7 linked regions of the Macaca mulatta genome follow. The protein of the gene in region 1 purifies or fractionates together with the protein of each later gene. This does not show direct contact. Links are inferred from orthologs where the notes say so. Each region holds a gene or a part of one and is shown in the gene's direction. Other genes may lie near its edges. The genes, in order: SMAD3, KAT2B, RUNX3, USP15, LEMD3, SMURF1 and SKIL.

Region 1 (4,123 bases):
CATTTACTGGGAATTATCAAATTTCCGATCTTTCTCTATCAGGAGATCCAGCAACACCGTGTTATGTAAATTTCTTCCAAAGATAAATTCGAAAGCACCTCCATTCATTCCTTCAAGAACTCAACAGATGTCCTTGAGGCTCATTTTCTGCCGGGCACTCAGTTCAGAAGGCTCAAAGGATCCCTGGCTCCAGCCATTGTCCAGGTTGTCACTGGTGTCCCCAGCTCTCCATTTCTGAGGACCCACTTCTCCCCCCCCCACACCCTCCTCCGCACACTTTCCCAAGGCTCTCGGCCGGTGTGATCTCACCAACGAGAGAATAAAAACAGCCCAGGGGCGCGGGCGCGGGCGCGGGCGCCGGCCAAGAGCCTTGACGGGGATCAGCCAGCGCGAGGCCAAGTGCGGGCCCCAACTTCCTGGGCCCGGGCCTTCCGCGCGCCCCCTCTCGGGCTCGGGTCCTCTCCAGGGTTCACTCCCGTCCGGACGGCGCTTACTTGCTGCGAGTCCAACCCTCTCCGGCCCGCAACTCCAACCGAGCCGCACAAGTGTGGACTCCGAGAGCGGACGCCTCGGGCCGCGCTCAGCCCTCCCGCCCGAGGCCCCTCTCGCCGCGCGTTTCCCAGGACTTCCTCCCCGCGCCCGCCCGACTTCAGGTCGGGGCCGCGCGGGGTCCCGCGCGCTCCAGCCAGGACTGCCGCCGCCCGCGTTGCCCACGTGGGCGTGCTGGGCACGGGGTGGTGGCCGGCCGGCCGGCCGGCCGCCCTCCCCGGAGCAGGGGGCGGGCAGGGCGCCCGCGGGAGGAGGTGGCGGGGCGCAGGGGAGGAGGCGGAGAGCCCCGGCGGCGAGGGGGCGGTGACAGCGCTTGGAAAGGAGGCTGCACGCGGATTTGCATGAAACACAGACTGGGAGCGGGCGGGAGCGGGAGCGCGGCGCACGCCCCGGGCCGGCCCAGCCAGCGAGCGAGCTAGCGGCGAGCCGGGAGGAGGAGGGTGGCGAGGCGGCGAGGCAGCAGAGGCGGAGGGATCTGCGCATCAAAGCTAGCAAGGCGAGCGAAGTTTGGCCGGGGGTTGGACTTTCCTTCCCGGAGGCGGCACCCAAACAGCTACCCCGTGCGGAAACCCAAACTTCTGCTGCCACTTGGAGTCTCGCGGCCGCCGCCTCCGCCCCGCGTTCGGGGCCTTCCCAACCCGGCACCGCTGCCGTCCGCCCGCCCGGCCGCCCTTCTCTTCGCCGTGGGAGCCGCTCCGGGCGCAGGGCCGCGCGCCGAGCCCCGCAGGCTGCAGCGCCGCGGCCCGGCCCGGCGCCCCAGCAACTTCGCCGAGAGTTGAGGCGAAGTTTGGGCGACCGCGGCAGGCCACGGCCGAGCTCCCCTCTGCGCCCCCGGCGTTCCGTCGAGCCCAGCCCCGCCGGGGGCGCTCCTCGCCGCCCGCGCGCCCTCCCCAGCCATGTCGTCCATCCTGCCTTTCACTCCCCCGATCGTGAAGCGCCTGCTGGGCTGGAAGAAGGGTGAGCAGAACGGGCAGGAGGAGAAATGGTGCGAGAAGGCGGTCAAGAGCCTGGTCAAGAAACTCAAGAAGACGGGGCAGCTGGACGAGCTGGAGAAGGCCATCACCACGCAGAACGCCAACACCAAGTGCATCACCATCCCCAGGTGGGGGCCCGCCCGGGGGACCCGGGGACACGCCGACCCGGCCCCCTGGCACTGCGGGGCCGACCCATTGGGGTTGGAGATGGGAAGAGGGAGAGAGAGGGAGTGAGACTGTGTGGGTGCGTGTGTGTGAGAGTGGGAGCTAGAGCGCGGGCAGGAAGGGGGTGGGGGGACCCCAAACAAAACCATCTCTGCATTTGCAAAGATCAGAGCCCGAGGCTTCCACACGGTACTCTGGCTTCCAGACCTCACATTCCCTTTCCACCTCCGGGAGGGGAGAGCGGGTTGTTGCGGGACTCGGCCGCCCCCACCCTGGGGAGCTGGGGCTGGAAGTTGAGGCCCGCTTTGTTCGGCTCCGCGGGCCGGAGCCCCTCCTCCGCCGCCGCCGCCTCCCGCCCCCGCGGCCCGCGCTCGTGGAGGTGGTGGTGTCTTTGCGTTTCTTTTCTTCAGTCCGGTCTCCCCACTTTCCTCTACAGGAATGCGGTCCGTACAGCTGGGGCTGTGGGTGAGGAGCGGGAGCCTCGTGATTGACAGATTCCTTCTTCGTTCTTTCTTTGCCTTCGGGATTAGCATTTTTATCGAGTATTTTTAGACTCGGTTGTGCCAGTCTCCCGCCCCCTGAGCACGCACGCACTTTGGTTGCAGTGCAATGCTCTGACTTCCAAATGGGAGAGACAAGTGGCAGAAAATAGGGTCTTCTCCCCCACCTCCCACTCCCCATCCCGACTCTTTTGCCCTCCTTTTGGTCCAAGAGATTTTGAGTCCGTGCAGAATGAGGGAGAGGGGCGGGCTGGAACCGGGCAGATAACAAAACACACCCCAAAGTGGGCCTCGCATCGGCCCTCGCATTCCTGTAGAGCCCTCCTTCCCAAAGCGCGCTGCCATCTGTCTGCATCTCCTTTATCCTTCCTGTTGCGCGCTAGCTAGGTCGGGCGGGAGCCCACAGATGGCTGATAGAAAGGGTCAGTGACTTCTCTCCACTCCCCCAGGGCCTTCCTTAGCTTAGCTGTGCCTGGCTGGGAATTGGGGGTGGGGATACCTTGACTTCCTGTCTCTACCTCTCAGCCTCCTTTGATTCTGAATCAAGGGAGAGAGTGTGTGTGTTGGGGGCTGGCTGTTTTGGGGGTCCCAGGCTGCAGAGGAATGAGTAGAAAGCACCAGGGACTGTAAGCCAAAAAAGGGATTGTCATCCCTGCCCCTGGGCCAGGGTGGACTCCATCCTTGGCCACCTGCTTGGGGCAGTTGTACAAGGGCTGCCAGGCGAGTCAGGCAGGCACAAAGCAACATCTGTCCACGGGAACCCAGGGCAGGCCTCCCCTGGAAATAAATGCCACATATGGTGGGAGTGCAGACTTAAATTTTTTTTTTTTTTTTTTGACTGGGTGGATCCAGTCAATAAAGGGGGAGGGAAGGCGGTGTGCTGTCTGGGGAAGTCCCTGGCCGTGTGATCGGGAGCCAGAATTGACTTCAGAGGAGGTGGTGTGATGTGATGGTCAGAGAGACCTGGGATTTGGTTCCAGCTCTGGTTCTTAATTCTTCTGTATTCCTTCGGTGGGGGTGGAGAGGGTAGAGTGGGTGAATATGCTACTTCTCTGTCTGGGGAGGGGTCTGTCAAACCTACCTTCCTCTTATCTGCCTGGGTGCATTGAAGACAAGTGCTTTATGCATTGAAACAGGAAAAAAAATGGTATCAATTATAAAACAGGCAGCTGTGAAAAGTGTTTCACGGTTTACAAAGCACTTTCACATGGTTTTCTGAGGTCCTCAAAACAAGATAGAAAGCAAGCAAGCAAGCAACCAGCCCTGGAAAGTAGATAAGGTTGTTAGGCTTAAGATTATCACGTTTTTAAAGCAGAGGAAACTTTAAAAGAGAGAGGTGAAAAGGCTTGAGTTGTAGACGTGGGATTCTGACAGAATGTGCTCTTTCTGCTGACCCATGCTGCTTTATACTTTGAAGATCCTGAATACATTCTTTGCTGAATGCTAAAACTGTGTTAGCTTGGGGAGGGCCCTGTGGATGTTTGTATGTGCGGTTGCTTCTTTAATCTTTGGGCTGGTGATCGCTTGGCAGAGAGGCCCTGCTTTCCCTTGCCTTGGTAGGAGTTTGTCCTCTGTGGGGCCATACCTTTGGCCTGCCTTTTCCTCTTCCAAAGTCCTGCTGAGACTTTGGAAGCCTAAGACATGTGAACGCTTTGGATGATTCTGAGGGTTCAAGCCAACCTGCCCTGTGGCCTTCTCGTGACTTTGTTAGGACTGAGGCATCTTCTGCCTGCCTGGATAGGACTGAATGCAAAAGCAGATTTTTTTTTTTTCATCTTTTTTTTCAGTTAGGGAAACCCAGTTGCTTGGGTGGATCCAGACAAAATGGATTTTCATCCTTGGATTTTGTGCCCACGCCTCTGGGTCACCTTGTGTCCCTTGGCAACAGCTGCTGCTGTTTTGGTCGTGGGCAGAAAACTAAAGGCCACGTCTTGG
Region 2 (3,500 bases), on another chromosome or scaffold:
TCACATGAATATTTTATATATTTATAGTAATGATTTCAGTAGCCTACACCCCTTAAAGTGGACACACATCTATATGCTTTTCTTTCCCTCTTCTCTCTGCCTTACCACTATTTATTTCAGTACAAGAAAATAAAGGGTAGGGTTGAGTCAGTCTAGAATTCTGAATGGAAGGCTGATTTGGGAATCAGTATTGTCCACTATGTGCAAAATATGTTAAAACTCTTTGTGTCCATTTCTAACCATAAATTAACTGATTTTTGTATCCTCTTCTCTGGACTGTCTCAGCTTCTTTTGTGAAACCCTCATGGGAAGTTGTGTCAGTTTGGGGCCCTTTCAGCCCCTGTCCACGTGCACTCTGAAGACGTGCAGTGATAGGTCTAGCGGATCCCATTGATCATAGCCTACTTACAGCCTGCTTTCTGAAAGTGTTTTTGCTTGGTCCAACCTGTAAAGGTTGTGAACTTCTCCAGTTGGATACAACCTGTGTGCATAGCTGAGTCTCACGAGGGGAAAACTGACCTAATTGAGCAAGGCCAATGATTGGCTGAAATGTGTGCTGGACAAACTTAATTAAAGCTATAAATGGTGTTCTTCAGTAGGGCAGTATTTTTTTTTTTCTTGGTATTGTTTAGATGCTGAGTAAAATATTTAGTTTTGTCCCCAAGATTATCTTGTATTTGAAGACAAGAATGACAAATCAATAATTTTACATTTTCCCATTGTTTCCTTATTTGATTTTTCTAATAACATTACTTTTCTTTCCCCATATTCTAAAAATGGATGAGATTTTCTCTCATATGGATGGGATCTAACCTGTTTTCTCTCATATGGATGGGATCTAACCTGTTTTATTTAGGGAGTCACACACTGGACATCACCTGTATAGTCCAGCCCAAGCATGACTTCTTGTTACACATGGATGGCTAGGCAGGATTTTCATGCTTATCCAGAATTCCCAAATTAAGGGGAAGGGACATGAAAACAATAATTTAATGGTGTCTCTATATTTGGTACCACCAATATTTAGTCACCTTTTTTAACCCACCTCATTTTGTCAATTGAAAAAACTCTAAGAAGGCCAGAGGAAGAAAAATGCTATCTATAGCTATAGAATAGAAAGGAAGTATTCAGAATTGTTTATAGTTATTCAGAAAAGTCCAGACACCTCCATAATTCTTGCTTTGTTTCTGTTGCATTTTAGGCTCTCTCCATCTTTTCTTACCCACCTCCTAAAAGTAGTTCGAAAGCTTTTGGACAAACTTCTTTGTGTTGTGTCATCCTTTTGCTCCCCCTCCACCTTTTTGGGGGGTACATGTTTCTTCCTTTTAAAACGTTATAAATATTATATTGGGCAGCACATCTTAAGTGGTAGACATTTAGGTGGAAAAGTGAAAGGAATGTAAACATCTACTTTTACTTAGGGTCAATTTCATTGTTTTTTTCTTCCTTAAATGAGAGAACATTTTGATCTGTTCAGTCACACGTGGATGGGACATTTAGTGTGGATTTGATGAGTCTTTGTGTTTCTTAACGCTTTTAGATTTTTCTCTCTCTCCAAATTGTTTTAGTTAGAGAAGAAAGAAAAGTTGAAAGTTGAATTTATAGATGTGATGACATACACTCTAACCAAGATAGGCTTTAATCAAGAGATAGGCAGAAGCAGCTTTTTTCCATTTCTTCTTTGATGCTCTTGTGGTGGATTTAGGATATTGATGCAAATGAATTTCTTCCCATTTGGGGATATTGTACATAAATTTACTTACCTTATTAAATGATGATCCCAGTGTATTTGGTTATAGGTTTCTTTCCCCTGGAAATTTTGTAACATGCTTAGAATTTGGGATTTGGGTAGTCAAAAGTGTTTCCCCCCCGCATTTGACTTATTTTTCCACACATAGTTAATACAATTATAGCTTTTAACAATAAAGCCAGACTTCAAGACAACCAGGGAACCATAAATAGACAAATGTTAGCATCTATTCTAATCTGCATATAATTCTTTAAATTAGTCCTGACAGTGAGGACTGAGGAAACCCCTCTTTAGTTTTATCAGTTTAGCTGGAGTACTGTTTTCACCTGTAAAATTCTGCCATTTAAAGCAAGCAGCTATATTGGGAAATTCTTTGCAATAGTCTCACAAGGCTTACTTGCTTTAGAAAATAGATTATTAAATGAAGTTTGTTATTCTTATTTCATTGATGGAGCTTGAAGCAAAATTCATTCGAATCATTTTACATGCAAGGTCACTGGTGTGTTCACAGATGTATTTATTATTAGTTTCTCTACTTTATCTATATGACACCAAAACAACTGTGAGTTTAGTGAAACAAACGCAGTCTGATAGTTTTAAGTAATTAAATGATTCAATACCAACGATCCACCTGCTCTGCTCCATATAGATAGAGCTTCTTCTGTGTAATTCTGAATGAATAGCTAACAGTAGTCAGTTCATCATACTTATTGTTGCTAATCTACTTAGCTTCCTTGTGCTGAATAGGGGATTGAACCAGATGACTAATAATGGTCCCTTTAATGCTAAAATGGCTGTGATTTGACATTTTTAAAGAACCCACAAGAGAATGAACATAAGATTTAAGAACTGTTTTCCTTGATCATAAGAATTTCTCTTAAATAAAAGCATTGGGATGATAAAAATGTAATCAAACCAACAACATAGATTTCTTTCCCAGTCCCAGTTTTGTCAGCTGGTGTTTAAAATGAGTCAAAGATTGCTAATATTTTTTTTTCCTGTGCAGATCTGAAAACCATGAGTGAACGCCTCAAGAATAGGTACTACGTGTCTAAGAAATTATTCATGGCAGACTTACAGCGAGTCTTTACCAATTGCAAAGAGTACAACCCCCCTGAGAGTGAATACTACAAATGTGCCAATATCCTGGAGAAATTCTTCTTCAGTAAAATTAAGGAAGCTGGATTAATTGACAAGTGATTTTTTTCCCCTCTGCTTCTTAGAAACTCATCAAGCAGTGTGCCTAAAGCAAGGTGGTTTAGTTTTTTACAAAGAATTGGACATGATGTATTGAAGAGACTTGTAAATGTAATAATTAGCACTTTTGAAAAACAAAAAACCTCCTTTTAGCTTTTCAGATATGTATTTAAATTGAAGTCATAGGACATTTTTATTTTATGGAATAGATTTTAATCTATTTACTACTATTAAGGTAAATTTTCTATGGCATGTCCATTAGCTGACTATTCCATGATAGATGATTAGGGGTTTCCTCAAAACCTGTGTGTGAGGAAATTGCACATAGTAGCAAAATTTGGGGAAATTCATAAAATTTTCAGACCGTGAATGTTTCCATTTTTTTCTAATGGAATGTGAGAGTTTATTTTTATTTTATTCCGAAGGACTTTAAGGAAGGGATACATGATTTTAAAAAAGCCTGTAAGAGGTGAAATATGTGATGTTTGAAGTCTCATTATAGACTTTTTATATATATTTTTTAAAACACTCATCTAGATGAGGTGCTTTGAGC
Region 3 (4,136 bases), on another chromosome or scaffold:
TAGGGGAGGGGAGTGTCCTGACCTTCCGCTTCCTAGCCCTGCTGTGGACAACTTAGGATGCTCTTAGGTGGGGACCACTGGAGAGAAACTGGGCTGTTTGTCCATCGATCTGATGGAAGAGGGAGAAAAGACCTCCATGCCAGCTGGGGATGCCAGCTGGGGAAGGGCGAGGGTGTCTGCATGCCCCAGGTGGGGGAGTGGGAGCTCTCCCTCCCATCAAACAAACGACAAAGTTTGTCGGTCCAGGATGGGGAGGAAGCAGGTTGGCGATCGGTGGAAATTGGGAACAAGCTAGCCTGTTCTGTGGGTCTTCTCCCCAGTGCCTGAAAACGCGAAGGCGGAAGGCGTCCGTCTCATCAGAGGTGAGGAAGGCGGCCTTGGTTTGACACACAGCCATCGGTTTGTCAGAGACCTGGCCGCATTGGTGGCAAGGAAAGGGCACCTTCTTGGGGGACGGCCACCGCGCCTGCACCCGGGGCCGCAGCTGGCGCGCATCTGTAGCCTGGCAGGGCCCGCACCTCCGCGGCTGGCAGGGTGCGGGCGCCAACTAGCGGCAGCTCCCGCCACCGTGCCTGCCAGGCGGCCGGGCGACCTTGGTCTGCGGACGCAAGGGCCTGCACCCCGCCCCCCAGTACCTTGGATCTGGTGCCCATGGAGAGCCAGCGCTCTACGGAGGGCCGGAGCCGTGCCGGGCCCTGCGCCAGGTGCCAGGGCTCACAAGAGTCCCCCACTCTCTGGGAAGCCGTCTGTGAACCCGCCGTAAGGGGAGAGGGAGAAATCAGGCGGAGGGACAAGCAAAGGGCACGGTGCAAACCCAAACCACTCGACAAATGGAATTTACCACCACCTGAAACTGCGGGTCATGGTCCCGCAACAGCTCCAGGGCAGCACGTGTTGCCCGCCCCCGGCCCGGGCCCTACCTGGCCACGACGCGCTGGGCCTTCCCGGAGACGTTCCTGGAGATGGGAGCGCCCAGGCTGGATCGCTCGCTTTCCTCTAGTTCTGCTGCTCATGCCAGCGCGTCCGAGGGTGCGCGGGCCTGGGTCCGCAATCGACAACTGCCAGGCGCAGGCTCTCTTACAAGGTTCAGTAAGGGACCTTTGCCGTTCTTGCGTTCGAAATGGCCTGAGGGCGTGATATGAGGCCTCGAGCCGGGCAGGGGCCAGCTCTTCCGACGGTCGGGGTGAGGCCAGAGTCCTTCACCCCTTGAGCGCACGAGGGGCTTGATTTCGTTTGGCGACGACGAAATGGCGCACGCTGGGCAGGGGTCAGATCCGTGATGAGATCTTGCGGCCACCGTCGAATCCTAAGCTTCTTTACTTCCGAGGCTTGGAATTGACTGTTTTGCACCTGTCGAGAGCCGGAGGCAACGAAAATATAGCCCAGTCTCCAAAGCGGCGGGGAGGCTCAGCACGCGTTCGTTCCCCAGAGTCTAGGGAGGGGTCTGGGGCGATAATTCGGAATGATTGGGGCTTGATCTTTCCCGTTGCCCTCCCAGCTGTAGCCGTCCCCTAGGCCTGCTCGACTGACTTAAGAGGCGGGAGAGGAAGGGGTTGTTTGCAGTGAAGCCCGGGAGAGGTTGGGCCACGCGGCTGGGAGTGGGAGCGGGGACGCGGAGCCAGGAGGGCAGGCAGTGCCTTGGCGAAACTGTCAGCAGTCCCTGCAGCGCAGCCAGAGCGCACGAGCCCAAGAAGTGGGATTGGATCCGCGGAGGCCACTTTCCACACGCATGGAGAAAGAAAATTCTCTCCTCTGAAAGCCGGGGCCCTTAGCTTTGCAGCCACTGCTCAGTTTTTCTTTTGTCGCCGACGCGCGTAGTGTTTCACGATGCAGGACCGTAGTTACATGCGTAAAGGAAAAAAATCGGGAAAACGCATTTTGCAGGCCTCGTCGTGTTTTTCAAAGAGCCACAGGCCGCCACAACGAAGAACGACGCCGCGAGGCCTGCGAGATCCTGAAACTTGTTTTGAGGGGAGAGTAGAGAGGAAAGGGGTTGTTGGCCCCAGGCTACTTAGGGTCCCTGGGAGACTCCCTTCCGCCTGTCCTCGGTTTGGCACAGGGGCCACCGAGGCTGGGACCAAAGCCGCGCAGGGCTGGGAGCGGCAGAGGCCGCCGGCCGGGCGTGGACGGCGCACAAAAATCCCATGTGGGTTGGAGGCTCTTGGGTCAGAGTAATTTGCGGGAGGAGGGAGGTGAGTAACCTCTTTGGGGCGGCTCCCAGTGCGGTGTCACCGGCCCTGGGCTCCCGCGGCCCCCAGCCCGGGGTTGCAGAAGTCACAGGCCCGAAGCAGCAAGAGCTGGGGAAGCCCGGCCGCGGCCAGCGGGGAGGAGGGGCGAAGGGTTTGCGCCCCAGCGTCAGGGAGATGCGACCCGGGAGAGGGCGACAAGGGCGCCTTCTGTGGGACCCGGACGTTCTAAGCAAATTTCTAGCATCTGCCCCGGGCTCCCAGAGCTCTCGGGGGCCCTGGGCTGTGGCACGGGGGCCTCCTCCGCGGGGTGGCGCCTTCCGCCCCTCCCCGTTGGGCGGCCTCCGGCAGGCCCCGTTCCTCCCCGCGAACGCCACCGAGGTGCCCGCGATGGGGGCTCCGCCGATTGGCTGTGCGACGCGTCGCTCGGGCCGGCCCCGCCCCGCGGGCCCCGGGGGTACTAACCCCGCGCGGGCGGCCACGGCCCCGCCACTTGATTCTAGAGGATTTGTTCTGGGGCTGCGGCCGCGGAGTCGGGGCGGCCGCGGGCGAGCCTCGGGGCGGGAGGCGGCGGCGGCGGCGGCACAGCCCCGCGGGGGCCCCGCCGCGGCCCAGGCAGCCGGAACAGCCGCGAGGGGCGGCCGCACGCGGTGCCGCGCGCCGGGGATGCGGGACTAGCCGGGCAGGCTGCGGACGGCCGTCGGACTAGCGAGGCCTCGCAGCGGGCGGGCCCTGGCGAGTAGTGGCCGGGCGCCGCCCCCTGCGCCCTGAGGCCCGGGCCCCGCCGCTTCTGCTTTCCCGCTTCTCGCGGCAGCGGCGGCCGAGGAGGCGTCCGCGCCGGCCGCCCCCGGGGGAAGCCGCGCCGTCGCCGCCCGCCCGGCGCCCTGACGGCCGCTGTTATGCGTATTCCTGTAGACCCAAGCACCAGCCGCCGCTTCACACCTCCCTCCACGGCCTTCCCCTGCGGCGGCGGCGGCAAGATGGGCGAGAACAGCGGCGCGCTCAGCGCGCAGGCAGCCGTGGGGCCCGGAGGGCGCGCCCGGCCCGAGGTGCGCTCGATGGTGGACGTGCTGGCGGACCACGCGGGCGAGCTCGTGCGCACCGACAGCCCCAACTTCCTCTGCTCGGTGCTGCCCTCGCACTGGCGCTGCAACAAGACACTGCCCGTCGCCTTCAAGGTGAGTGCGGGACCCGGGGCGGGAGGGCGCCGGCCCTGGGGCTCCGGGCGTCCAAGCTGCGGGAGCCAGAACCTCCGGAGCAGTGGGGAGGGGAGGTGCCCCAGAGGCCGCGGCGACACCTGGGCACCCGGTTCTGTCTCGCTGCGCACTCGGCTTGGGGACATCGGCGTTCCGTTTTGGATGCGCCCTGCACGGATGACTTTTAAGGGGGTTGCCCCGCTCCACCTGGGTTTTAGGGCGCCCTGCGTAGAGACGTTGGTGCGGAAATGGGCGGATGGGGTTTTGCCCCCCCGCACCCGGATCGCTCAGATACAGCCCTGCGGGTAACGGAGAAGAGGATCCCGGCACCGGGGCAAGGACACCGCGGGTGGGGTGCGAACGGTGAAAGGGCCTACCCTCCGCCGCCAGCACCCCTCCTCCCGCGCCGCTTCTCAGACGCTTCCTGCTCACACCCTCGGGCTTCCGAAATTTTACGGGACGGCGCTAGGCCGGGATCGGGGCACTGCTCTCCAGACGTTTGCTGGGGGATATTCTGCGTCCTGAATGGCAGGTTGAGATTGGGGGACCCCTAACTCTGGCAGCCCCCAGCCATTTAGAGGACCTTTTTCTTTATGCCAGGGAGTAGGCGACTGTTTCATTTTCATTTTTTTAAGGGGGCAGCGAGATGAAACGAAAACGCCTCGGTTTTCCCCTAAACCTCTCACAGCTGCCGTGAGAAAAGGGCAGGGCAGGAAGGGCCGGCGGCTGGGGGTGGTGCTGCCCGAGGTGGCTG
Region 4 (4,236 bases), on another chromosome or scaffold:
GCATGATAATGCAAAATATTATTATGATGCAGAAATAAGCAATCATAATCATAATACTGATATACACAAATCATAATGCGAATGTACACTACTTTCACTTGGAAGGATTCATCACTTTCTACTAGCGTAACTACACCTTCTTCATTGCATTCTCACCAAATGAGTTAGGGTTTAAAATGGGGAAACAAGAGAAATGATGCAGGGATTCTGGCCCATCTTTTAGACTTTTCACATCAAATGGTATGTTAAAATCAAACCCCTGGACATCATGCTCGGGAATACTTAAGTAATTTTGCCACAATTCATTTATTAAACAAATATTTAGGTGATTTTTACATGTCCAGTAGTACTATGCTAACCACCAGGTATACAGAGGTTAAAACAAAAGATGAACCCAGTTCCAGCTCTTAAGGAGTTTACATTTTAGTCCAGGCTTTCATAAGGAGAGGCAATGAGTGTGCTGTACTGTATAGCACGTGGGCTCTTGAACCAGCCTCTCCACTTACCTCTCCACCTGCTGTGTGACCTTGGCATTTGCTTTTTAAGCGACTCGATTTTCTATTTTGTAACATAATCGTTGACTTCAAATGAAAGACATACCTAGTTTCATTTCAGGTGTACGGCACCACAGGAAGATGGGGCTAAGAAAATGTTACTCTCTTGTATAAAGAAGAGGGTTTCTCTCACGTTTTCTTCCTTTAGTATCTGGCATTATTCAATAATGTCCATATTCTACTCGATGTTCACCGATGAACTGGGACATGTTTTTCACCGCAGCTTAGTCGTCTGGGTGTGCCTGGGGAGGCGTCACAAAGAGCCTATAAAGGGTCCCCACCTACAATGGGAGTAAGAGCGCTGGAAGGAACCCCGGAAGGGCATGGAGACCAAGCGTTCGGTTTCGGAATGTTTTTTGTGTGTGCCCGTATTCACCGAGCTTGGGTTCTGCTACTTTTAACGAAAAGCCCAGTCGCGGAGCTGCTAAATTTTCTGCCATATCTTAGCCGTCCCCACGCCCCCCCGCCCCACCCTACCTCACCCCCAGGCGTGAGTGAATGCGCAAATAAGGGTTTTCAAGGCGTCAGTGGGAAAGAGGGAGGGGAAGGCAACGCCGAGGATGGGAGGACAGGGCGGTGGCATCCTTCTAGCGAGAGAGCGCCGGAGCCCTCGGCGGCGAGGAGAGCTAAAACCTGGCTGTCCCGAGCCAGAGGAGGCCGAGGCAAGATGCTGAACGGGCGGGGACCGATGGGGGGCAGCAGACCATGGCCGCGCACCTAGTCCGCCCCCGGGGCCTCCTCTTGTCCCGAGGACCACCCCCGCTCCCGGTGTCTTTTGGTTTCGACCGGCCGACTGGGAGGGGCCGTGGGGACGCCATTCCCATAATGCTCTGGGGCGTGCCGCCGCCGTCGCTGCCACCTCCCCTACCGCTAGTGGAAGAAGATGGCGGAAGGCGGAGCGGCGGATCTGGACACCCAGCGGTCTGACATCGCGACGCTGCTCAAAACCTCGCTCCGGAAAGGGGACACCTGGTAAGAGAAAGGGGTTGAGATGCCTGCGGTTGCCCGAGGATAGTGGAGAAGAGGGCGGGAGCCGCGAGCTGGTGTCTTTCGCTGGTGACAGGTGCGGGCAGGTCTGGCGGCGGCCGCCGGGGTAGCAGGATTTTGGCTGCTTCTGAAATGTTAGGGCAAAGGTTGGACTCTAGATGAGGGTCAGGGTTCGTGGCTTGCCAGGGCATGCTGAAAGGTGTCCGGAGAGCGGCGGCGGCGGCGGCACTGACTCGTGCGGTTCTCTTCTTCCTCCTTCCTTCCGTAGTGCCGCTCCCACCTCAGGCCTTCTCGAATGATAGGTTATAGTGGTTTGGTTTGAGTCTCATATACGCTGTTTTGACAGGTCCCGGTGCCGCGGCTTATCATGATCTCACCGGCTTTACTTCTCTGTTCATTTCCTTTCCTAGAATTGTCGGCGTCCAAGTTCCCTTTTATTCTGATTCTTGTAGTCTTCCGGGAGGCAGGCTGCAGGATGTTTGCGGTCTGTACTACACAGGTGGCATGTCAGTGCCCCACATAAGAGAAAGAAACCCTAGTTTCCAGTTCCTTGTCAAAGGAGGGAGAGGAGTAGGGAACCTTAGGCTTATGAGAGACCACGTGGTCTTGTGCTTTAGTGGTGGCTTGATAAAAGCCGGCAGCGTTTCTGTTAGATGTGCAGCCCTTCCCTTCTGTTTGAAGAATAACGTAGGCCTGCAAAAAGTTGATAAGTCCACTTGAGGCTTAACTAACTGCTAATATTCGAACTTGTAAAATACCAAAGGATATATATTTATAATACTGAAGGATGTATGTGGACATTTTCACACTTGTCGGCCATATCCAGTGGCATCTAGAATAACTTAAATATGTGAATATGTAACATAATTTAAAATTCCTTATTTTTGGGGAAGGATAATGTGCCTCTTCATTATAATAAAAAATATTTTCACTTCCCACTGTTACCATAACAGTAGTATATAATTTATAGAGTGTTTCACTATGGCATAGTGGAAGGAGCAGTAAGATTTAGACCTGAGTTATGTCACAGTTTCACCACTCAACTTGCAGTATGACTTTGAGGAGAGTTAATTTAAATCATTGCACCTCAGTCTCTTCTGTAAAATGGACAGTATTTTATTATAAAGGTTTTATCTTGATTCGTTTTAATATCTTAAGAATTTTATGTTTATGAGATACTAAATTTTAGTTACCTTCTGCTCTTTACTCTTGACAAAAGGCTGTGATACTGGGATCATTTTCAGTTAAGCTAATAGGTGGCAGATTTAGGACCATAATTTAACCTTGATCTAAGTCTTAGTCTCTTTTTTCTTTTTTGGTAGGCTGTATACTATGTGTATACGATAGAAATCCCTAAGGATGTAAATATATACTTGTTTCATTGTATCAAAAAAATAGAATCTTCAAGTGACTTAATAATAGTTATTTTTGACCTGGCAGGGTGGCTCACGCCTGTAATCCCAGGACTTTGGGAGGCCGAGGAGGGAGGATCACTTGAACTCAGAAGTTCGAGACCAGCCTGGGCACCACGGCAAAACCCCGTCTCTACAAAAATACAAAAAATTAGCTGGGCATGGTGGCACGCCTGTGGTCCCAGCTACTCAGGAGGCTGAGGTGGGAGGATTGCCTGAGCCTAGGAAGCAGAGGTTGCAGTGAGCTGAGATCCGGCCACTGCACTCCAACCTGGGCAACGTGAGACTCCATCTCAAAAAAAAAAGAAAGTTACTGTTTTTATTATAATGTTAGTAAGATGTTTATTACTGTGGGGAAATTGGACATTTCCTAGGACACCCATGTTTACCTTGGCTTGTGGTATGACAAATAAGTCCCTGCTCACTATTGTAAGTTAAAGAACATTTAAAAATTCTTAATTCACCCAACCTATTACCACCTTATTTTAAAAAGTGAATTTCCTTAAAATAGAAATCTATTAAGTCTATAAGTTAAAATATAAGTATTATTGTCTCATTAATGTCACGTTTTTGTATATGGAGTAATTGGTGTTGACACTACAGGATGATAGGAGCAATATGTGCATTGTGGGCGTTTAACTTTATAAAGTTTGGTATTTTCAAATGAGTATATTTTTGCTTTTTGACAAAATTAATGTAAATTGTTTTATATATGTGCGTGTGTGTGTAGAGCTCCATAGGTACAAACTGTGTTTCACTATATTGCCCATGCTGATCTTGAACTCCTAGCTGCAAGTGATTCACCTTAGCCTCCCAAAATGCTAGTATTACAAGTATAAAGCACGACTGAATACAAGAGGCTCATAAATTTGAGTCATTTCAGTGCTTTTATTTTAAATAAAAGTAAACTGAGGACCACATATTTAGATAAAAGCAGATTGTGCAAGTTTATCCTCACGTTAACTTTCTCTTAAAGGAAAAAACCTGAGAGAGAAAGAAGGTACTGGGAGTTGCAGAAACCAGTTTGATTTATTTGTAAGCCAGTTTATTTGCAAATTAGCAAGTGAAACCTGTTCAAAAACAAAGTAGTATAGAACAAAAAATTGATTCAGAGTTTTAGAGAGAATAATTTGATAAGTATGAATTTGATGATGAACTTACAAGTACAGAACTGGTCAGGATATGTATTAATTTAGTTTATGTTTTTGGAACTCACTAGAAAGTTGTTTTTCCTTTTAATACCTTTTTTTAATCTTTGAATCAGGTTCTTTGAAATTTACCAT
Region 5 (4,102 bases), on another chromosome or scaffold:
CTATGCTTTTGACTAACATTTTTCTGTACAGGTGTATAATGTAACGTAATAGGTAAAATAGCTCATTCAACAACAAAAAATTATTGTAGTATTTTGTAGCTACTAGGATTGAAGTAATAAAGAATTGTCTGTCTGCCAAGGTTTGGGGAAATGGGAAAATGGGAAAAGATCTTCACCACACTGGGCATATTTCACCTCTCTGGGATTCATTTCCTATTCTGTAAATGGGAGAGTTGGGTTTCCAGGTCTCGTCCTTGTTTTTTTGACTTTGTGTGAAGGTTTCTCCACCTCACCTGGCACTAGTCTTATTTCAAAATATTCATCTCATACTATCCTTTGTTTGCAATTCTTTAATTAATTCAACAAATATTTATTGAGCTTCTACTAGTATCGTAACAGAAGCAAGGTTCCTCCACACATGGAGCTTATTACAGTCCAAAAGGATAGGACAATAACTAATTTCGAAAATAAATACAAATATTTATTAATAACTAATAAATAAAATTGGTTGGAAAGGCGCTAAGAAGGAAATAAATAGGATCATGTGTTATGTCTTTGAGAGTCTTAAAATGAAGCAGATAAGCTTTCACTTTCAAAAGTGCTCACGTAGGGAAGTCATTAGGTTTCAAAAAAGGAAAAAATAAGATAATATCTTACAATTAACTAATGAATATGAACAGCCATTACGCTAGAAGAAAATTGTATTGTGATTGGTGTACTCTGTATCTTCTCAGAATGGGAGAGGTGAGGCTTCTCAAGAGCAGTGAGAGAAAGTCAATTTTTTTTTTTTTGGTAAGTCAAGCGAAAGACGAACTGAAAATAGACAACCTGAAGTCAGACGGGAAAGCTGCCAATCTAGTCTGGCCAGCAGAATTTCTTTCAGTAGGTCTAGGCTTCCTTGGCAGTGGGAATCCAGATGTAAAGAAAACTTATGCCATGAACTTCAAGGTAATTTCAATTATTACTGCCCGGTGGCAGGAACCTAGGAAGGAGAGGTCAAGGTGTGGTTTAGTAAGAGACAGCTCCTGGGAACGGCGCTTGGAAGGGCAGGGCGGAGAACAGCTGGAGATGAGACAGAGAAGAGCGGGGAGAATGCGCCGACACCTCAAGGTGAGAGAGTAGAAACAGTCTCCGCCGTGGGAGCCGCGCGCTGCTCAGGTGGCTGTTTCCCGCTCAGGTGAGCTCCTCCCGCGCCTCCCATTGGCCGAGACGTCCGCGGCGCTGGGAGGGCGACGCCGCGCGGTCTAGTTCAGGGTCTAGGGCGGCGCGTCACTTCCGGTAGCGCGGAGCTTGTAAAACACCCTGGAGAGAAAATGGCGGCGGCAGCGGCTTCGGCACCTCAGCAGCTCTCGGATGAGGAGCTTTTCTCTCAGCTCCGCCGTTACGGCCTGTCTCCCGGACCAGTGACGGAGAGCACCCGCCCGGTCTACCTCAAGAAGCTGAAGAAGCTTCGAGAGGAAGAGCAGCAACAGCACCGGTCGGGGGGCCGCGGCAACAAGACGCGGAACAGTAATAACAATAACACGGCAGCCGCCACGGTCGTAGCCGCGGGACCAGCGGCGGCAGCAGCCGCGGGGATGGGGGTCCGGCCAGTCGCGGGCGACCTCTCCTACTTACGGACTCCTGGGGGCCTGTGCCGAATCTCGGCCTCCGGCTCGGAGAACCTCCTGGGAGGGCCCGGGGGCGCCTCCGCCGCCCCCACGGCTGGCAGCAAAGTGCTGCTGGGCTTCAGCTCGGACGAGTCGGACGTGGAGGCCAGTCCCCGGGACCAGGCCGGCGGCGGCGGGAGGAAAGACCGGGCTTCGCTCCAGTACCGCGGGCTCAAAGCGCCGCCGGCGCCCCTGGCCGCCAGCGAGGTGACTAACAGCAACTCTGCCGAGCGAAGGAAGCCCCACTCGTGGTGGGGGGCCAGGAGGCCGGCGGGCCCCGACCTGCAGACCCCGCCGGGGAAAGATGGAGCAGTGGAGGACGAGGAAGGGGAGGGAGAGGACGGTGAGGAGAGGGACCCGGAGGCCGAGGAGCCGCTCTGGGCGAGCCGGACCGTGAATGGCAGCCGGCTTGTCCCCTACAGCTGCCGGGAAAACTATTCGGACTCAGAGGAAGAGGACGACGACGACGTGGCCTCCAGCAGACAGGTATTAAAGGACGACTCCGTTTCCCGGCATCGGCCCAGACGAACCCATAGTAAGCCTCTCTCCCCGCTGACTGCTAAATCGGCCGGCGGCAGGCTGGAGACTTCAGTTCAGGGAGGGGGAGGACACGCGATGAATGACAGGGCGGCGGCTGCCGGGAGTCTAGACAGGAGCCGAAACCTCGAAGAGGCGGCGGAGCAGGGAGGAGGGTGTGATCAAGTGGACTCCAGCCCGGTTCCTAGATACCGTGTTAACGCTAAGAAACTGACCCCACTCCTGCCCCCGCCACTTACTGACATGGACTCAACCTTGGATTCGTCAACAGGCTCCCTTCTGAAAACCAATAATCATATTGGCGGTGGGGCCTTCAATGTGGACTCTCCCAGGATTTATTCTAACAGCCTCCCTCCCAGTGCGGCGGTGGCCGCCGCTAGTTCACTCAGGATCAACCACGCCAATCATACGGGCTCCAATCATACCTACCTGAAAAACACATACAACAAACCGAAGCTTTCCGAACCCGAAGAGGAACTTCTCCAGCAATTTAAACGGGAGGAGGTGTCCCCAACAGGGAGTTTCAGTGCCCACTACTTGTCGATGTTTCTCTTAACTGCTGCCTGCTTATTTTTCCTAATACTGGGACTGACATACCTAGGAATGAGAGGGACAGGAGTATCTGAGGATGGAAAACTCAGCAGTAAGTATTAAATCCTGTGGGTAAGGTAACAAAGGGAATGTTGTTAGTGGTCCGCTTTAGCCGCGCTTAGCGTTTTACATGAACTGACTTACCTGCAAGAACATGGTTTGACAGCAAAAACGCAACAGTCAGTGCATGTGTCATCTTTCTTTAAGAAAGAACACCATTATCGAAATGATATCATATGACTGGTGTTAAGTTTTCTGCATGATGTATTGTGAAATTCAAAACAATTTTTAAAAGAATATTATAAGCTTGTTAGTAAAACTCATTTGTATATGTGACAGTTTTCTTTTAGCCCTAAATATTTGCGCAGATGCCAATCACTCAACAAATTTGAAGTATTAGGATAAGGCACATTATAAATGTAGTGTTTTTTCAAATTGAGTTGTGATTCTAGTAGGCAATGTAGTGGCTCTTGAAATTCGAATTATTTGTAGTATTAACTGTATGCATAAATTCGGGTTAAATATTTTGTCGTATTAACTATATGTATAATTTCTTAATAGTGAATGAATATAAAAAAGCAGCAAGGCACACCTCTTAATTTATTTCCCAGCCCAAAGCACTTTCCCTGTCATCTGTACAAAAAGTAGTGGTAGGGCAGTGCAGGAGCTTGCAGTCAGATTTCCTTGGATTGGTTTCCAGGTCCTGTTATTTACTTGCTAAATGACTGTAGGTAGGTGTGTTCATTGTCATTATCAAAGTATTTCTGCCCTTAAACACAAAAAGAAGATGAATACAGACCATTTTGTGTTCTGCGAAGGAAATAAAGATGAGTAATTGAAGTACACAACTTTATTTTTTTTTCCTTTTTTTAAAAAAACTTACCACACTACACTGACGTAGGTGTACACTGCTTTAGATTGAACGGAGGAGGTACTGTTTGAGGTGAGACCTGAAGCAGGAGACAGCCTTGTTGAGAAACAGGAGACCATTCTGAGCAGATTGTAAGAGGAAGGACCTTGAGTTGAGCAAGAGAGCCTTCTTGTAGGTTAAAGTGGTTAAGCACCTTGAGCAAAAGGGAGAGAGTAAGAGTTAAAGCTTCTGAACTTTCCTAATCTATAAAATGAGGCCTCTATTGACTAGAATGATGTTTGTGAAGATTAAAAGAGAAAGTAAATTAGTACAAAATGGACTTCTGAATACATAATTTCTCAGTGTTAGGTCTCTCTCTGCATTCCCCTGAAGCCTTCCTATTTTCACCCAAGATGAATTCACTGTATTTTTATTTGTATTCATAAAGTTGGCTTATTAGTTTTATTTCAAAATA
Region 6 (3,500 bases), on another chromosome or scaffold:
GGTTACACGGGCTGCCAAAGAGGCATTCCTAGCACAGAGAAAGAATTTCTCCCACAGACAGACAGACAAAAACAAGCGGAGAGCTTTGTCCTGATAGAAGCCGTGAACAGTAATTTGGTGATGTTTTGGTTGTCAAGGCTCAAGACTTACTTCACTGTGTGTTGATTGGGCACAGTGGCTTAGGCCTGTAGTCCCAGCATGTTGGGAGGCCAAGGCAAGAGGTTCACCTGAGGCCAGGAGTTTGAGAGCAGCCTGGGGAAACTAGCAAGACCCTGTCTCTACCAAAAAGCAAAAACAAATTACAAATCTTTGTATTAGAGGCAGAAAAGCACAGGGGGACATGGAGAACTCACCACCACTCCTGCCCCGCCCCCCATTCCTCTCCCCTCCCACACACACTTCTCGCTGCCTGTCCTTGGCCTTGAGGTTGGTCCCAGGGCTGGACTGCCCACCCAGTGACTCTCACTTTTTTGTCCTTTTTCAGCTTTAACCGGATCGACATTCCACCATATGAGTCCTATGAGAAGCTCTACGAGAAGCTGCTGACAGCCGTGGAGGAGACCTGCGGGTTTGCTGTGGAGTGAAAAGCAACCAAAGGCAACAGAGTCTAGCTCATGGCCACCAGACCAAAAGCATCCAGCTTCTGTGCGCCTCCTGCAAAGCTGGCAGAGGCCCTGGAATTCCGGATCACCTGAGGGGAAAGGGTTGTCTCTCTCCTTTCTCTTGGGGGAGGGGGATGGGGGACTTTTGTTGGTGGCTCCCACCCATATATCTCTCCTTTATTATAGTACTCCCACCCGCTTCCATCACCCATCCAATAAAATGCAGCCAGGGTTAGCCTTTGGCTTTGGTCACACAGGATATTCTGCTGTGGTTGCAACCCATGTGGTGATAAGGCTCATGGCCCTGAGCTCTTTACGGGAGCATCAGCCCACAGTTAGGGGACTGAGTGTGGCTGGCTGAGGGTTTGGAACTGCTGGCTATCCCCGCTGTTCCATCTCAAATAGCCTTGGGGCCCCTTTTCAATTTGAGCAGCTGCTAGATATCTTACCAGAGCTCAGATTCCAGATTTCACATCCCAGCAGCCTGTTCTGGGCAGCAGATGAATTTCCAACTGAAAAATAACTGCCTAACGTATGCTTATTGGAATTCTGCCACAGCAGGAAGCTTGAGTCAAAATGCGTTGCCCCTTTGAAAGGAGAAGGAATTGGAGCAGCTTTTCCTGGAGCCAGGATATTTCTTTGCTGGGTATCTTGGCTGAGAATATTTTACGTAGAGAAAAACCATCTTTTAAGGGCCCCTTTTGCTGCATTATCTGTCCAGTTTGACTTTTCTTTTCAGTGAAAACACCATGTCACGGAGTGTAGAAAAGAGCAGACCAAAATCAGCCCTAGAGCCAACCAGTCAGTCCCAAAGCTGTGACCTCTGTGCCACTGTTGTCCATAGAAGAGCATCAACTGTGTCACTTAAAATATTAGTAAACCATGATGCGGCAACTGCTAAGAGCTAAACTAACAAAATTGTGTTATCATAGCTGCTGGCTTGGTGCGAACTAGCTTAAAAGCAATGGTGAAAGGATAACCTCGATGATGTAAATCCACCCAAAGATACTGTTCTACAAAAAGTAGAGTGTGGACGCAAACCTGTGACCGCAGAGGGGGACAGCTCCACACTGCCTCGTGTGGCCCCTTTCCCAGTGGCAGCTGGTGACACTAACGATTGCTACTCGGTTCACTTGCCCAGATGTCTTCGTATGATCAGCAAGGCCAGAAGCAAGCCTAGACTCGAAGTTTCTGACACCATTTTCCAGTTTGCACAGAAGTCAAACAGTGTTTTATCTTAAAGTGGCTTGATTTCCAGTAGCTGAACTTGGGCAGAAAACAGCAGCAGCAACCAATGTTCCTGTATGGTTTCTTTGTTGTTTTTGTTTGGGGTGGGGGCAAGTACAGGGTAATCGATGAGCAAGACATTTCACTGCTGTCGAAGTCTCTGGGATCCCGCTGTGGGTCTGAGATGGCCTGGGAAGGACCTTGTGGACAACGGTTTTATCTGTTCTTTTTGTCACTGTTGACTTCTGGGCTGCTGAGGTTCTAGAATGGAAGGGCTGCCAAACGAGGTTTGCTGCAGGAGGAAAGTTTAATCCCCCATTCCAGAAGTCCAGGCCCAATGGTGGGCTTAGCCTCTTTGAAAAGCTCTGCCTTGCCCCCCCAGGTGGGCGCATCCTGTGTCTCATTCACCATGATGCTTCCTGAAGGTGTTCTAGAAGCCCGTTTCCCAGTGGCTCTATCCAGCCTTTCCTTGCATCTTGCTCTTGAAGGTGAGGAAGTGAAAACTAGAGCCCTCCCCCGGAGAGCCCACTCTCTGTCACGAGCCTAACCCACGGGAGGCGGAAGAGACATCCATCCGAGAACTGAAGCGGCCTCCGGGATGAGGTCGGAGGCCCCACCTGATTGTCCTGGTGGTGGTATCCAAAATCTGCAGTAACTAGGAAGGAAACCAGGGTCTCATGGTTTAAAAGACTTTGAAGCAGGAATGTTGCATTTGACGCCTTTAAAACTACCTTTTTGCTGTTGGGAGGAGTCGGGGGCGAGCCTTAGCAGCTGCACCCGCCAGCCCCATGCTGGTCGGTGCTGCCCTGCCTCTCATGCCGGGTGTTGCTTCAGCCCAGAGCCAGAGGGCTGGGTCCCGGGTCCTCCACAGGTGGCCCCGGCGGACACATGGCATTCCTGTCCCGGCCCCCGTCTCTGCTTTTCCACTTCCACCTGCGTGTGGGTTTGCCGCCTTGTCATCGGTCGTGTGAGCGTCGCAGACCTTTCCAGAGCTCCGGTTCACTCTTTCCAAACAGGCCTCCCTGTCGGTGGCATCGCACTCCCAGAACCTTCAGTTTCTACGATGGTTTGTTTGGTCCTTTTGAACCACCCCAAAGAACTCAATATGGCAAGCAAATGGTAAAAGCTTCCCGACTGTTGGACTTTGGGTCCGCACGAAGCCCATTCACGTGTGATCTGTGTCGCCCCTCTCGGTGGTCCCAGGCGATCCAGCCATGCCCCCTGCCCCTCTGCCCAGATGCTTCAGGGGCCCGGCTTTTCAGGCTTGCCCTCACCAGCGGCCGTCAGCCGACACTCAGGGATGTAGCAAACACCACTCCGCCAGTGCTTTTGGTAGGAAGAGCTGAGGCTGCCTGGGAGGCCCGGGGCGACAGGAAAAGGGCTCTCTCCAGTTCTGAAAAGAGAATCTGCCACCAGATCGAATTTCGACCCCTGAGCTTGTTCAGACATATGGTCCGAATTCAGATTAAGGTGGTCACCCAGTCCGAGATGTCAGGAAAGGCCTTCTGCAGAGAAAATGTCCCCCTACCCGCCATCTGCAGCCAGGTGTGTGCCGCACGGCAGCCTTCCCGAAACATAGTATGGATTTTAAAAATGTGTTTATTTTTGTTTCTCAACCACTTTATAATGTATTTTTTAATTTATTTTGTAATGTCTTGTTTTTAAGTATTG
Region 7 (3,965 bases), on another chromosome or scaffold:
CACCCTACACGCCTCAGAGGGTCACAGCCGGAAAGCTCTTGAGTCCTATATTCCCAACCTCGTCTCGTCACTCTCCAAAAAAAAAAAAGAAAAAGGCCTCAGTAAACACTGTAAAAACCTGTAATTTATAGCTCCCTTCTGGAACCGAGAGAGCAGCCTGGTGGGGTGGAGGCAGGAGGCTGGGGAGCAGGGATAGAAATGTTTGCTCTCGGTTTTGCCAGAACTTTGGCCACCCCTCCCGCCCGACCCGATGGCGGATGGAGGTCAGCCAGGGGAAGGCGTCTGGGTGGAGGCCGCTCGGGCGAGGCCGGGGCCGCCGGGGCGGGGCGGAGCGCCGGCAGCTGGCTGGGCGGCCCTTGGGCAGGAGGCCCCGAGGGGGCGAGGGGCAGCCCAGGAGGGAGGTCCCGCGGGGGCGGGGAGCAGAGCCGGCCCCCGGGGCCCTGCAGGGCGGCCGCCGCCCGGCTGCCTCCGGGGCGGGGCGGCCCAGCTGCGGCCCAGCAGGGGGAGGGTCGCCCGTGCCTGACCTCGGGCGGCGGCGCTCTGCCGGGCGAGCACTGCCTCCGCCCTGCCGGCTGCTGGGGTCGCGCACAGTGCACGGCGTGGCTGCCCTGCCCCCTCTTCCCCGCTGCGCGGCGTCCGAGCGGCCAGGGCGCCCCCGGGTCTGGCCCATCACCACAGAGCGGCGGGTGGGGCGGGGGCGGGGCGGTGGCCCCAGACAGCCGGCTGGGCGACTAAAGGAAGGAAGGAAGGAGGGAGGGCGGCGGTGAGGGTGGGGTGGGGAGGGAACATCCTGTCTGCGCCGGGTGCACCGCAGACAGCGCCGCGCGCCAGCCGCCCAGACGGCGCGCGGGGCCAGAAGCGCCGGGCGCGCGCCTGGGGGGAGGGGCACGCGCGCGAGACGACTGGGCCGGGGGGTGCCCTGAGGAGCTACAATAGGCCAGACGGCGCGCGCGTCCCCGAGGGGGTCGGGAGCCGCGAAGTGGCGGCGGCGGCGGCGGAGACGCCGGCGGTCCCGCGCGCGCGGCGCCGCCGCTGGCTTCGTTCCCTTCCCCTCCCCCTCCCCGCCGCCCTCGCTCTCCCCCGGGCGGCCGGAGACGGCGGCGGCGTCTGCGGGAAGCCGTGTGTCTCCGCAGTGACGTGGGCGGGCCGAGGACTCGGTGACGTCAGAGGGCTGTGTGTAGCGATGTGTGTGGGGTTCGGAGCGGCGCCGGCACAGCCGAAGGGAGCGGGCGAGCGGCGACGGCGGCGGCGGGCACAGGTGCGGCTCCGGCTCACGGCTGGGACGCGGCGGAGGCGGCGGGAGGCCAGAGGCGCTCACCCTCCTGGGAGCCCGACGGTGGCGACAGGGGCGGTGGGGAGTTCACAAAGCTCGTGGAGCTTCCCGGGCACCGAGGCCCGAGTAGGGGGTTTGGATGCGCGGGTCCCGGGGGGGGGGTCGGGGCCAGAGGGGGTCGCTAGGCGCGTGTCCCACAGCTGATCACGCTTCGTTGGCCCCAGGCGGTGGGCGCGGGCAGGGCAGGGCGCTGCACTTGACGGGAGCCGCGGGGACCCCGGAGACCCGGACGCCCGTCACCGCCCCCCTCCCCCACTCCAGCAGCGCTCCGCGGGGATGCCCTGGTCTCGACCCGGTCCGTCAGCCCCCGGCGGCGCGGGGATCCGCTCTCGGCGCCTGAACTGCCCCAATGCCCTCTTCGTTCTGGCCCGGGGCTGGCGGGGGGAGGTGCACCATTAGGGTCGCTGAGGTGACACCCGAGAACTTCCCAGGGAGTGGGCGCGCGGAGGGGGGGGGATTTCCACAGTCCTTCCCGCGGCCCCCGCGGGGGGGCGGTGTTGGGAGGGCACTTGGGGTTATCCCAGGCTCGCGGGTGGGGGTGGGGGGACTCCTCCCTTTACTTCCCTCCGCCCCCTTGCACACCCACCCCCAGGCTTCCCGTGTCCCTTGTTCTCCCCCTCTTCGGGTTAGAGATAGGTGGGTGGCTTTGAGTGGGCGGAGGACTTCAGGGTTTTAGGGGCTCCCGCATTCTAGGGCATGCCTCTTGCCCTCTTCCTTGGCCTGTGTTGACTGAGGTGTGTTCTCGTGGTGGACAAAAATCTGTACGATGGTTGGTGGCATTGGTCCTTAATCCTTTGGGTCTGTTTTAAGGTAAATTGCTGAGAGTTTGGGAAGTAAAAATTTCTATTTATTGGATTTATTTTGGGTTTTCTCTCAAGAAGGAAGTAGAAGAGTCTTTTCTTTTCCCCTCTTCCTCCATTTGCATTCTTTGTGAGGTTTGTCTGCCTTGTGCTTTTTGTCCCGGATTAGTCTTGTTCAAGGTTGGAGATTCCCAGGTGTGGAGTCTATAGCTTTTGGCTTCCATTAAGTAAAATCGCTAACCTTTTAAAGAGAGAGTTAATTTTTGTCTACAGTTATTTCAGAAAATTAGTGTACATGGACTAGCTGAATTAATTCACTTAAAATTGTAACTTGGTTACATATGGTAGATATGTTAACTCCTATCTGATTTTTTTGGATGAAACTGTTTTTTTTTTTTTTTTTTTAAATAGGAGATGAAGTAATGGATTTTTTTCCTCCCTTAAAATGGCATAACTGAGAAAGCCTCTGGTACTGATTGAGATGATCTGTTTAAGAGTCTTCATGTTCTGAACTCGAATGGCCTTTTGTGTTGTATTATTGCTAGCTTTCTCCAACTCCAAATTGCTTTCCTATTTAAATGAATGTTCTTCTAGTAAACTGGTGTTAGATTTAAAGAAATCACTCAAGCTTCACCTTTGGTAAAGTGAACTCAGTTTAAGATTGAGCAACTGGTTTCGGCCGGGTGCGGTGTCTCACACCTGTATTTCCCGCACTTTGGGAGACCCAGGTGGGAGGATCACCTGTGGTCTGGAGTTCCAGACCAGCCTGACCAATATGGTGAAACCCCGACTCAACTAAAAATACTAAAAAATTAGCTGGGCGTCGTGGCTTGCGCCTGTAGTCCCAGCTACTCGGGAGGCTGAGACAGGAAAATTGCTTGAACCCGGGAGGCGGAGGTTGCAGTAAGCCGAGATCACTGCACTCCAGCCTGGGTGACAGAGCGGGACTCCGTTAAAAAAAAAAAAAAAAAAAAAAAAAAAACCAACTGGTTTTAAACTGGCCCCGTTTGGCCTCTGAAGCAAATTCAAATGTAACTGTTCCCCCACCCCCTTCTCTTCTTCCAGATTAATTAAAAGAAGAATGAACTATAATCCTTGAAGATAACTGGGCAGTTTTTTAAGTCGGAGGCTTTTCTCACTGGTTTGAGGATTTACACACGTCTTCGGTTTTCCAGCACAGACCAGCAGACCATCATTTTTAGAGGACATACTCCCTCTGCCCTCCTTTTCGGTTTCCTTGGTGGTAAAGATTAAATTTGGTTGCATCATTTTGAGTTGTGTTTGAGTCTAGATTTTATGGCCCAAGGAATGGCATAAACTTTTCATGTGTTTTGCTTAAAACAAACCAAACCATTGCATTGATCCTGGACATCTTTAATTGAGAAATTGGTAACTTTATTTTAATATGTATATCTGAAGAATTCAAGAAAACAAAGGCATTCTCAGAGGTGTGCCTCTTTATTGTTAGAGGCAAAACGAACAGTTACATAGGACTTGCAGTGAAATTATACCAGATTATATAAGGAGAACCAAAACTAAGTCGCAAAATTTATTAATTTAAGGGAATCTCTCTTTGAAAAGTTTCTTTGAGAGTAAGTTACTATAAGCATTTGTATACATTCATTTCCTCTTTTTCAAATAAGCAACTAAATAGAAATGCTAATCTCAGATTTAATTATTTAACAGAAGAGTGTAGGATGGAAAACCTCCGGACAAATTTCTCCTTGGTTCAGGGCTCAAATAAAAAACTGAATGGGATGGGAGATGATGGCAGCCCCCCAGCGAAAAAAATGGTAACAGACATTAATGCAAATGGAAATATGATAAACAAG

The links.
Region 2: the proteins of SMAD3 (region 1) and KAT2B purify together in Homo sapiens (affinity purification with western blotting, with the first as the bait; 3 studies listed by BioGRID). This does not show direct contact. The link is inferred for Macaca mulatta from reciprocal best matches to the Homo sapiens genes SMAD3 and KAT2B.
Region 3: the proteins of SMAD3 (region 1) and RUNX3 purify together in Homo sapiens (affinity purification with western blotting; 3 studies listed by BioGRID). This does not show direct contact. The link is inferred for Macaca mulatta from reciprocal best matches to the Homo sapiens genes SMAD3 and RUNX3.
Region 4: the proteins of SMAD3 (region 1) and USP15 purify together in Homo sapiens (affinity purification with western blotting; 4 studies listed by BioGRID). This does not show direct contact. The link is inferred for Macaca mulatta from reciprocal best matches to the Homo sapiens genes SMAD3 and USP15.
Region 5: the proteins of SMAD3 (region 1) and LEMD3 purify together in Homo sapiens (affinity purification with mass spectrometry; 3 studies listed by BioGRID and IntAct, counting the BioPlex papers as one, with this or other methods). This does not show direct contact. The link is inferred for Macaca mulatta from reciprocal best matches to the Homo sapiens genes SMAD3 and LEMD3.
Region 6: the proteins of SMAD3 (region 1) and SMURF1 purify together in Homo sapiens (affinity purification with western blotting; 3 studies listed by BioGRID). This does not show direct contact. The link is inferred for Macaca mulatta from reciprocal best matches to the Homo sapiens genes SMAD3 and SMURF1.
Region 7: the proteins of SMAD3 (region 1) and SKIL purify together in Homo sapiens (affinity purification with western blotting; 6 studies listed by BioGRID). This does not show direct contact. The link is inferred for Macaca mulatta from reciprocal best matches to the Homo sapiens genes SMAD3 and SKIL.

Annotation. Positions count from the first base shown.
Region 1 is NC_133412.1:44,588,264-44,592,386, forward strand, and holds the start of SMAD3 (mothers against decapentaplegic homolog 3), read left to right. Parts: upstream 1-1,323; 5' UTR 1,324-1,445; coding exon 1,446-1,651; intron 1,652-4,123. UniProt on the Homo sapiens protein: Receptor-regulated SMAD (R-SMAD) that is an intracellular signal transducer and transcriptional modulator activated by TGF-beta (transforming growth factor) and activin type 1 receptor kinases.
Region 2 is NC_133407.1:28,410,232-28,413,731, reverse strand, and holds part of KAT2B (histone acetyltransferase KAT2B), read left to right. Parts: intron 1-2,756; coding exon 2,757-2,950; 3' UTR 2,951-3,500. UniProt on the Homo sapiens protein: Functions as a histone acetyltransferase (HAT) to promote transcriptional activation. Has significant histone acetyltransferase activity with core histones (H3 and H4), and also with nucleosome core particles.
Region 3 is NC_133406.1:216,032,486-216,036,621, forward strand, and holds the start of RUNX3 (runt-related transcription factor 3), read left to right. Parts: upstream 1-1,336; 5' UTR 1,337-2,144; coding exon 2,145-2,753; intron 2,754-3,043; coding exon 3,044-3,364; intron 3,365-3,759; exon of another isoform or gene 3,760-3,981; intron 3,982-4,136. UniProt on the Homo sapiens protein: Forms the heterodimeric complex core-binding factor (CBF) with CBFB.
Region 4 is NC_133416.1:69,549,034-69,553,269, forward strand, and holds the start of USP15 (ubiquitin carboxyl-terminal hydrolase 15), read left to right. Parts: upstream 1-1,436; 5' UTR 1,437-1,437; coding exon 1,438-1,526; intron 1,527-4,236. UniProt on the Homo sapiens protein: Hydrolase that removes conjugated ubiquitin from target proteins and regulates various pathways such as the TGF-beta receptor signaling, NF-kappa-B and RNF41/NRDP1-PRKN pathways.
Region 5 is NC_133416.1:72,335,616-72,339,717, forward strand, and holds the start of LEMD3 (inner nuclear membrane protein Man1), read left to right. Parts: upstream 1-1,302; 5' UTR 1,303-1,313; coding exon 1,314-2,829; intron 2,830-4,102.
Region 6 is NC_133408.1:46,244,825-46,248,324, reverse strand, and holds part of SMURF1 (E3 ubiquitin-protein ligase SMURF1), read left to right. Parts: intron 1-484; coding exon 485-584; 3' UTR 585-3,500. UniProt on the Homo sapiens protein: E3 ubiquitin-protein ligase that acts as a negative regulator of BMP signaling pathway. Mediates ubiquitination and degradation of SMAD1 and SMAD5, 2 receptor-regulated SMADs specific for the BMP pathway.
Region 7 is NC_133407.1:82,071,540-82,075,504, forward strand, and holds the start of SKIL (ski-like protein), read left to right. Parts: upstream 1-1,165; 5' UTR 1,166-1,258; intron 1,259-3,198; 5' UTR 3,199-3,830; coding exon 3,831-3,965. UniProt on the Homo sapiens protein: May have regulatory role in cell division or differentiation in response to extracellular signals.